Saccharomyces cerevisiae S288C: one gene and its partners. The protein of the gene in region 3 purifies or fractionates together with the protein of the main gene of each other region. This does not show direct contact. Each region holds a gene or a part of one and is shown on either strand. Other genes may lie near its edges. The genes, in order: FBA1, GPM1 and TDH1.

The links.
Region 1: the proteins of TDH1 (region 3) and FBA1 purify together in Saccharomyces cerevisiae (affinity purification with mass spectrometry; 2 studies listed by BioGRID, with this or other methods). This does not show direct contact.
Region 2: the proteins of TDH1 (region 3) and GPM1 purify together in Saccharomyces cerevisiae (affinity purification with mass spectrometry; 2 studies listed by BioGRID, with this or other methods). This does not show direct contact.

The regions. Positions count from the first base shown.
Region 1 is NC_001143.9:325,748-329,258, reverse strand, and holds FBA1 (fructose-bisphosphate aldolase FBA1), read left to right. Parts: upstream 1-1,771; coding exon 1,772-2,851; downstream 2,852-3,511. Other genes in the region: cleavage polyadenylation factor subunit MPE1, read left to right, coding at 1-1,141; BLI1 (Bli1p), read right to left, coding at 3,147-3,488. UniProt on the Saccharomyces cerevisiae protein: Catalyzes the aldol condensation of dihydroxyacetone phosphate (DHAP or glycerone-phosphate) with glyceraldehyde 3-phosphate (G3P) to form fructose 1,6-bisphosphate (FBP) in gluconeogenesis and the reverse reaction in glycolysis.
Region 2 is NC_001143.9:163,054-166,090, forward strand, and holds GPM1 (phosphoglycerate mutase GPM1), read right to left. Parts: upstream 1,333-3,037; coding exon 589-1,332; downstream 1-588. Other genes in the region: NNR2 (NADHX dehydratase), read right to left, coding at 1,864-2,877. UniProt on the Saccharomyces cerevisiae protein: Interconversion of 3- and 2-phosphoglycerate with 2,3-bisphosphoglycerate as the primer of the reaction. Can also catalyze the reaction of EC 5.4.2.4 (synthase), but with a reduced activity.
Region 3 is NC_001142.9:336,430-339,929, forward strand, and holds TDH1 (glyceraldehyde-3-phosphate dehydrogenase (phosphorylating) TDH1), read left to right. Parts: upstream 1-1,841; coding exon 1,842-2,840; downstream 2,841-3,500. Other genes in the region: retromer subunit PEP8, read left to right, coding at 1-608; YJL052C-A (uncharacterized protein), read right to left, coding at 1,455-1,574; IRC8 (Irc8p), read left to right, coding at 3,358-3,500. UniProt on the Saccharomyces cerevisiae protein: Glyceraldehyde-3-phosphate dehydrogenase (GAPDH) involved in glycolysis and gluconeogenesis. Catalyzes the reaction of glyceraldehyde-3-phosphate to 1,3 bis-phosphoglycerate.

The DNA of each region.
Region 1 (3,511 bases), on a different chromosome or scaffold from region 3:
TGCCTTTGTTATACCTAGATCTACTAGTGTCATAGTAAAAAGATCTCCAGCAATTAAATCATTCTCCGTACACAGTCGACTTAAAGGGAATGTGGGAGCAGCAGCTCTTGGGAACGCAACAAGGTATGTTACTGGTAGGCCAAGAGTGTTGCAAAAGAGACAACACACTGCTACAACCACTGCTAATGTTAGTGGTACAACGGAAGAAGAAAGAATTGCTAGTATGTTTGCCACACAAGAAAATCAATGGGAACAAACGCAAGAAGAAATGTCTGCAGCCACACCTGTTTTTTTCAAGTCACAGACGAATAAGAATTCTGCACAAGAAAACGAAGGCCCACCGCCACCAGGTTATATGTGCTATCGTTGTGGGGGTAGAGACCACTGGATTAAAAATTGTCCAACTAACAGCGATCCAAATTTTGAAGGAAAAAGAATCAGAAGAACCACAGGTATTCCAAAGAAGTTTTTAAAATCCATTGAAATAGATCCCGAGACAATGACACCGGAAGAGATGGCTCAGCGAAAGATTATGATTACGGACGAAGGCAAGTTCGTGGTACAAGTTGAAGACAAACAATCATGGGAAGACTACCAAAGGAAAAGAGAGAACCGTCAAATTGATGGTGATGAAACCATTTGGAGAAAAGGCCATTTCAAAGATCTTCCTGACGATTTAAAATGTCCCTTGACAGGTGGTCTTTTGAGGCAGCCGGTAAAGACAAGCAAGTGCTGTAACATAGATTTCTCAAAAGAGGCGCTGGAAAATGCACTGGTAGAGAGCGACTTTGTATGCCCCAATTGCGAAACCCGCGATATCCTTCTCGATTCTTTAGTACCCGACCAGGACAAGGAAAAGGAGGTCGAAACGTTTTTGAAGAAACAAGAGGAACTACACGGAAGCTCTAAAGATGGCAACCAGCCAGAAACTAAGAAAATGAAGTTGATGGATCCAACTGGCACCGCTGGCTTGAACAACAATACCAGCCTTCCAACTTCTGTAAATAACGGCGGTACGCCAGTGCCACCAGTACCGTTACCTTTCGGTATACCTCCTTTCCCCATGTTTCCAATGCCCTTCATGCCTCCAACGGCTACTATCACAAATCCTCATCAAGCTGACGCAAGCCCTAAGAAATGAATAACAATACTGACAGTACTAAATAATTGCCTACTTGGCTTCACATACGTTGCATACGTCGATATAGATAATAATGATAATGACAGCAGGATTATCGTAATACGTAATAGTTGAAAATCTCAAAAATGTGTGGGTCATTACGTAAATAATGATAGGAATGGGATTCTTCTATTTTTCCTTTTTCCATTCTAGCAGCCGTCGGGAAAACGTGGCATCCTCTCTTTCGGGCTCAATTGGAGTCACGCTGCCGTGAGCATCCTCTCTTTCCATATCTAACAACTGAGCACGTAACCAATGGAAAAGCATGAGCTTAGCGTTGCTCCAAAAAAGTATTGGATGGTTAATACCATTTGTCTGTTCTCTTCTGACTTTGACTCCTCAAAAAAAAAAAATCTACAATCAACAGATCGCTTCAATTACGCCCTCACAAAAACTTTTTTCCTTCTTCTTCGCCCACGTTAAATTTTATCCCTCATGTTGTCTAACGGATTTCTGCACTTGATTTATTATAAAAAGACAAAGACATAATACTTCTCTATCAATTTCAGTTATTGTTCTTCCTTGCGTTATTCTTCTGTTCTTCTTTTTCTTTTGTCATATATAACCATAACCAAGTAATACATATTCAAAATGGGTGTTGAACAAATCTTAAAGAGAAAGACCGGTGTCATCGTTGGTGAAGATGTCCACAACTTATTCACTTACGCTAAGGAACACAAGTTCGCTATTCCAGCTATTAACGTCACCTCTTCTTCTACTGCCGTCGCTGCTTTAGAAGCTGCTAGAGACAGCAAGTCCCCAATCATTTTGCAAACCTCTAACGGTGGTGCTGCTTACTTCGCTGGTAAGGGTATCTCTAACGAAGGTCAAAATGCTTCCATCAAGGGTGCTATTGCCGCTGCCCACTACATCAGATCCATTGCTCCAGCTTACGGTATCCCAGTTGTCTTACACTCTGACCACTGTGCCAAGAAGTTGTTGCCATGGTTCGATGGTATGTTGGAAGCTGATGAAGCTTACTTCAAGGAACACGGTGAACCATTATTCTCCTCCCACATGTTGGATTTGTCTGAAGAAACCGATGAAGAAAACATCTCTACTTGTGTCAAGTACTTCAAGAGAATGGCCGCTATGGACCAATGGTTAGAAATGGAAATCGGTATTACCGGTGGTGAAGAAGATGGTGTTAACAACGAAAACGCTGACAAGGAAGACTTGTACACCAAGCCAGAACAAGTTTACAACGTCTACAAGGCTTTGCACCCAATCTCTCCAAACTTCTCCATTGCTGCTGCTTTCGGTAACTGTCACGGTTTGTACGCTGGTGACATCGCTTTGAGACCAGAAATCTTGGCTGAACACCAAAAGTACACCAGAGAACAAGTTGGTTGCAAGGAAGAAAAGCCATTGTTCTTGGTCTTCCACGGTGGTTCCGGTTCTACTGTCCAAGAATTCCACACTGGTATTGACAACGGTGTTGTCAAGGTCAACTTGGACACTGACTGTCAATACGCTTACTTGACTGGTATCAGAGACTACGTCTTGAACAAGAAGGACTACATAATGTCCCCAGTCGGTAACCCAGAAGGTCCAGAAAAGCCAAACAAGAAGTTCTTCGACCCAAGAGTCTGGGTTAGAGAAGGTGAAAAGACCATGGGTGCTAAGATCACCAAGTCTTTGGAAACTTTCCGTACCACTAACACTTTATAAGTTAATTCAAATTAATTGATATAGTTTTTTAATGAGTATTGAATCTGTTTAGAAATAATGGAATATTATTTTTATTTATTTATTTATATTATTGGTCGGCTCTTTTCTTCTGAAGGTCAATGACAAAATGATATGAAGGAAATAATGATTTCTAAAATTTTACAACGTAAGATATTTTTACAAAAGCCTAGCTCATCTTTTGTCATGCACTATTTTACTCACGCTTGAAATTAACGGCCAGTCCACTGCGGAGTCATTTCAAAGTCATCCTAATCGATCTATCGTTTTTGATAGCTCATTTTGGAGTTCGCGATTGTCTTCTGTTATTCACAACTGTTTTAATTTTTATTTCATTCTGGAACTCTTCGAGTTCTTTGTAAAGTCTTTCATAGTAGCTTACTTTATCCTCCAACATATTTAACTTCATGTCAATTTCGGCTCTTAAATTTTCCACATCATCAAGTTCAACATCATCTTTTAACTTGAATTTATTCTCTAGCTCTTCCAACCAAGCCTCATTGCTCCTTGATTTACTGGTGAAAAGTGATACACTTTGCGCGCAATCCAGGTCAAAACTTTCCTGCAAAGAATTCACCAATTTCTCGACATCATAGTACAATTTGTTTTGTTCTCCCATCACAATTTAATATACCTGATGGA
Region 2 (3,037 bases), on a different chromosome or scaffold from region 3:
TTTGGGGATGCCTATATCCTCGAGGAGACACTTCCAGTATATTCTGTATACATAATATAACAGCCTTTATCAACATTGGAATCCCAACAATTATCTCAAAATTCACCAACCTCTCATGGCGCATATTCATCATGCATGTAACTACCACATCAATGTTCAATCATGGACTTTTAACTAATCTTAAGTACTATTCGAACTGCCCATTCAGCTTTTCCCTTTGCAATTGGTGCACTCCTACTTGAACGAATTCGCGGGGTGTACATTAAACTACGATGTAAACATCAAGGTTATTGCTATAACATGTCATGTCACCATTAATTACCACTCATTCCAACATACTGTCCCTGACGAAAACTGTTTATGCGAGCGCAAAATGAACCTATTCAATTAATAATACTCCTCAAATTGCTACCACGACAGGCTGAAAAAAGATGTCGACGAATAATGTAATCGTGTCAAACAAACGTTATCTTGACTATATATAGCTACTTAATTTGAAATAATAAACTATACAAGTCTATATCATTGATATATTCAGTAAGAAAAATGGAGGGAAAAAGAAATCATCAAATCATTCATTCTTCAGACTTATTTCTTACCTTGGTTGGCAACAGCAGCGGCACCAGCAGCGGCAGCTTCTGGGTCCAAGTAGTAAGATGGCTTAGATGGCTTCAAGTTTTCGTCCAATTCGAAGACCAATGGAATACCAGTTGGGATGTTCAACTTAGCAATGTCAGCATCAGAGATACCTTCCAAGTGCTTAACCAAACCTCTCAAGGAGTTACCGTGAGCGGCGATCATGACGGTCTTACCACTCAACAAGTCCTTGGCAATGACATCTTGCCAGTATGGCAACAATCTGTCAATGACCAAAGCCAAAGATTCAGTTTCTGGCAAGACATTTGGGTCAACGTACTTGTATCTTTCATCACCCTTTTGAGAGAATGGAGAAGAAGCGTCGATTGGGGGAGGTGGAACATCGAAGGATCTTCTGTAGGTGTTGAATTTTTCTTCACCGAACTTCTTCAAAGTTTCAGCCTTGTCCTTACCTTGTAAGTCACCGTAATGTCTTTCGTTCAATCTCCAGGATCTGTTGACTGGAATCCATAATCTGTCAGCCTTTTCCAAAGCAATGTTAGCAGTTTGGATAGCTCTGGACAACTTGGAAGTGTACAAGACGTCTGGGTAGACCTTCTTTTCCTTCAACAATTCACCGGCTCTAGCGGCTTCTTGTTGACCCTTGGCAGACAATTTAACATCAACCCAACCGGTGAATAAGTTCTTTTCGTTCCATTCGGATTGACCGTGTCTAACTAAAACTAACTTTGGCATTATTGTAATATGTGTGTTTGTTTGGATTATTAAGAAGAATAATTACAAAAAAAATTACAAAGGAAGGTAATTACAACAGAATTAAGAAAGGACAAGAAGGAGGAAGAGAATCAGTTCATTATTTCTTCTTTGTTATATAACAAACCCAAGTAGCGATTTGGCCATACATTAAAAGTTGAGAACCACCCTCCCTGGCAACAGCCACAACTCGTTACCATTGTTCATCACGATCATGAAACTCGCTGTCAGCTGAAATTTCACCTCAGTGGATCTCTCTTTTTATTCTTCATCGTTCCACTAACCTTTTTCCATCAGCTGGCAGGGAACGGAAAGTGGAATCCCATTTAGCGAGCTTCCTCTTTTCTTCAAGAAAAGACGAAGCTTGTGTGTGGGTGCGCGCGCTAGTATCTTTCCACATTAAGAAATATACCATAAAGGTTACTTAGACATCACTATGGCTATATATATATATATATATATATATATATATATATGTAACTTAGCACCATCGCGCGTGCATCACTGCATGTGTTAACCGAAAAGTTTGGCGAACACTTCACCGACACGGTCATTTAGATCTGTCGTCTGCATTGCACGTCCCTTAGCCTTAAATCCTAGGCGGGAGCATTCTCGTGTAATTGTGCAGCCTGCGTAGCAACTCAACATAGCGTAGTCTACCCAGTTTTTCAAGGGTTTATCGTTAGAAGATTCTCCCTTTTCTTCCTGCTCACAAATCTTAAAGTCATACATTGCACGACTAAATGCAAGCATGCATGATATAGCTCCTGTCAAAGTATCACCTTGGCCTCCTACCCTCTTGTTGCTGCCCTCTTCGCTGTTCGTCAACATGTCTTTTTCACTATCGGGTGAGAATATCTTATCTGACTGACCTTTCTCCACCACAATACAATTCAATTCCTGGGCGATCAAGCTGCCCATCTCGGAGTGAGAGTCTCCCTTCTTGCCTATGGCATCACATAGTCTTTTGAATTCTACCACATTGGGCGTCAAGATCACTCTACCTTTGGGGTAGCTTTTCAGCATTTCTTTGACTTCGCTATCTTGAGTTACTAAGAACAGTCCATCAGCATCAATTACTAACGGGATCTTGCCCTCATGTTTTTCAAGTATATATCTTATGATATCCTTAATGGATTTTAACATTAGGGGGTCCCTACCCAAGCCGGGTCCAATTACCACAACGTGGATTCTATCCAATAAGGAATTGATTTTCTTCCTTTGTTCGTCCATATCAACGTCTAATTTGGTGTTACTCATACGAAGGTATGGATGAACCATTAGGTTTGGGGTGTACGATTTAATGACCGTACCAGCGTTGTATTCGCAGATGACATGTGTCAAATCACAGCCCATCAAGGCTGTAGCATTGGCGCTGAAATACGGTGCCCCTGTATAATCTTCGCATCCTCCAATAATGCAAACTCTCCCACCAGACTGTCCCTTATGAAACTTTGGCAATAAAGGTGGTATACATCTTTTCTGCGCCAACTTTATCAATTCTCTATGAGACAATTCTGCTAACATTTCCAGTGATACGGTAGTGATCGTATTGAACTGGTGTTGCTAATAAAATTTCACCGACGCCTATATACCTATTTACACCTTTACATATATATCTACTAGATCACGTTGCAAGACCCATCACATCGCATCACATCACATCACTCCCTATTCTGCCCTTTAC
Region 3 (3,500 bases):
TTTGGGTCTATCTTTATAATAGTGTAACTACTGCGCCAAATACCCTTTCCGCAAATGAGACAAAGGCAACCACTAATGACATCGCTGGTGGTAACTATGCTGCAGATAATGCGAGTGACAACACGCAAACAAAGAGCACCCAGGGTGAGGCGGCAGACGTTAATCAAGTTTTGCCGATATCACATTCAAATAATGAGCCCAAGCCTGTTAGATTGGATATAGGTATAGAAAATTGCCTTCACATTGAGTTTGAATATGCCAAATCCCAGTACAGCTTAAAAGAAGTCATTGTGGGGCGTATATATTTCCTTTTAACGAGACTAAGGATAAAACATATGGAATTAAGCTTGATCACAAGAGAATCTTCCGGCCTACAAACTTCTAATGTAATGACAGATTCCACTGCTATCCGATACGAAATAATGGATGGGTCTTCAGTGAAAGGTGAAACCATACCCATAAGATTATTCTTGAGCGGCTATGACCTGACGCCCAATATGAGCTGCAACTACTTTAACGTCAAGAATTATTTGAGCTTGGTTATTATCGATGAAGATGGCAGAAGATATTTTAAACAATCAGAAATAACATTGTACAGGACCCGGTAGAAAAGCTCGACCTTAAATAAGGTGAAGATGTGGTTCTCTGTTCTTTCAACATCTCGATATTTAACTTTTCGTTTGGCATTATAGTGTTATACATAACAATATCTAGATTTCAGTAGAAGACTTTTGCGTAAGTTATAACGAACTAAACAAGCAAGAGGTAAAATACGATATAGTAAGAAGCTCAAGTGCTAAAACTTTTTTTCTCTACGAAAGGAGGAATAGCATATGGTTTTCTTCCCTTTTACAGTGCTTCGGAAAAGCACAGCGTTGTCCAAGGGAACAATTTTTCTTCAAGTTAATGCATAAGAAATATCTTTTTTTATGTTTAGCTAAGTAAAAGCAGCTTGGAGTAAAAAAAAAAATGAGTAAATTTCTCGATGGATTAGTTTCTCACAGGTAACATAACAAAAACCAAGAAAAGCCCGCTTCTGAAAACTACAGTTGACTTGTATGCTAAAGGGCCAGACTAATGGGAGGAGAAAAAGAAACGAATGTATATGCTCATTTACACTCTATATCACCATATGGAGGATAAGTTGGGCTGAGCTTCTGATCCAATTTATTCTATCCATTAGTTGCTGATATGTCCCACCAGCCAACACTTGATAGTATCTACTCGCCATTCACTTCCAGCAGCGCCAGTAGGGTTGTTGAGCTTAGTAAAAATGTGCGCACCACAAGCCTACATGACTCCACGTCACATGAAACCACACCGTGGGGCCTTGTTGCGCTAGGAATAGGATATGCGACGAAGACGCTTCTGCTTAGTAACCACACCACATTTTCAGGGGGTCGATCTGCTTGCTTCCTTTACTGTCACGAGCGGCCCATAATCGCGCTTTTTTTTTAAAAGGCGCGAGACAGCAAACAGGAAGCTCGGGTTTCAACCTTCGGAGTGGTCGCAGATCTGGAGACTGGATCTTTACAATACAGTAAGGCAAGCCACCATCTGCTTCTTAGGTGCATGCGACGGTATCCACGTGCAGAACAACATAGTCTGAAGAAGGGGGGGAGGAGCATGTTCATTCTCTGTAGCAGTAAGAGCTTGGTGATAATGACCAAAACTGGAGTCTCGAAATCATATAAATAGACAATATATTTTCACACAATGAGATTTGTAGTACAGTTCTATTCTCTCTCTTGCATAAATAAGAAATTCATCAAGAACTTGGTTTGATATTTCACCAACACACACAAAAAACAGTACTTCACTAAATTTACACACAAAACAAAATGATCAGAATTGCTATTAACGGTTTCGGTAGAATCGGTAGATTGGTCTTGAGATTGGCTTTGCAAAGAAAAGACATTGAGGTTGTTGCTGTCAACGATCCATTTATCTCTAACGATTATGCTGCTTACATGGTCAAGTACGATTCTACTCATGGTAGATACAAGGGTACTGTTTCCCATGACGACAAGCACATCATCATTGATGGTGTCAAGATCGCTACCTACCAAGAAAGAGACCCAGCTAACTTGCCATGGGGTTCTCTAAAGATCGATGTCGCTGTTGACTCCACTGGTGTTTTCAAGGAATTGGACACCGCTCAAAAGCACATTGACGCTGGTGCCAAGAAGGTTGTCATCACTGCTCCATCTTCTTCTGCTCCAATGTTTGTTGTTGGTGTTAACCACACTAAATACACTCCAGACAAGAAGATTGTCTCCAACGCTTCTTGTACCACCAACTGTTTGGCTCCATTGGCCAAGGTTATCAACGATGCTTTCGGTATTGAAGAAGGTTTGATGACCACTGTTCACTCCATGACCGCCACTCAAAAGACTGTTGATGGTCCATCCCACAAGGACTGGAGAGGTGGTAGAACCGCTTCCGGTAACATTATCCCATCCTCTACCGGTGCTGCTAAGGCTGTCGGTAAGGTCTTGCCAGAATTGCAAGGTAAGTTGACCGGTATGGCTTTCAGAGTCCCAACCGTCGATGTTTCCGTTGTTGACTTGACTGTCAAGTTGGAAAAGGAAGCTACTTACGACCAAATCAAGAAGGCTGTTAAGGCTGCCGCTGAAGGTCCAATGAAGGGTGTTTTGGGTTACACCGAAGATGCCGTTGTCTCCTCTGATTTCTTGGGTGACACTCACGCTTCCATCTTCGATGCCTCCGCTGGTATCCAATTGTCTCCAAAGTTCGTCAAGTTGATTTCCTGGTACGATAACGAATACGGTTACTCCGCCAGAGTTGTTGACTTGATCGAATATGTTGCCAAGGCTTAAATAAAGCAATCTTGATGAGGATAATGATTTTTTTTTGAATATACATAAATACTACCGTTTTTCTGCTAGATTTTGTGAAGACGTAAATAAGTACATATTACTTTTTAAGCCAAGACAAGATTAAGCATTAACTTTACCCTTTTCTCTTCTAAGTTTCAATACTAGTTATCACTGTTTAAAAGTTATGGCGAGAACGTCGGCGGTTAAAATATATTACCCTGAACGTGGTGAATTGAAGTTCTAGGATGGTTTAAAGATTTTTCCTTTTTGGGAAATAAGTAAACAATATATTGCTGCCTTTGCAAAACGCACATACCCACAATATGTGACTATTGGCAAAGAACGCATTATCCTTTGAAGAGGTGGATACTGATACTAAGAGAGTCTCTATTCCGGCTCCACTTTTAGTCCAGAGATTACTTGTCTTCTTACGTATCAGAACAAGAAAGCATTTCCAAAGTAATTGCATTTGCCCTTGAGCAGTATATATATACTAAGAAAGGAATCATACTCTCTTATGTGCCATAATTCTGTTAGGAGCGGAAATAAGGCTGGTTTTTTGGGGATCAAGTTCGGAAGTGCTCTTCTCTCAATTGCCACAGGTGCCATTGCTATCGCATTGCTATGCAAGTTCCACGACCACGAAGCGGTACTGATAGT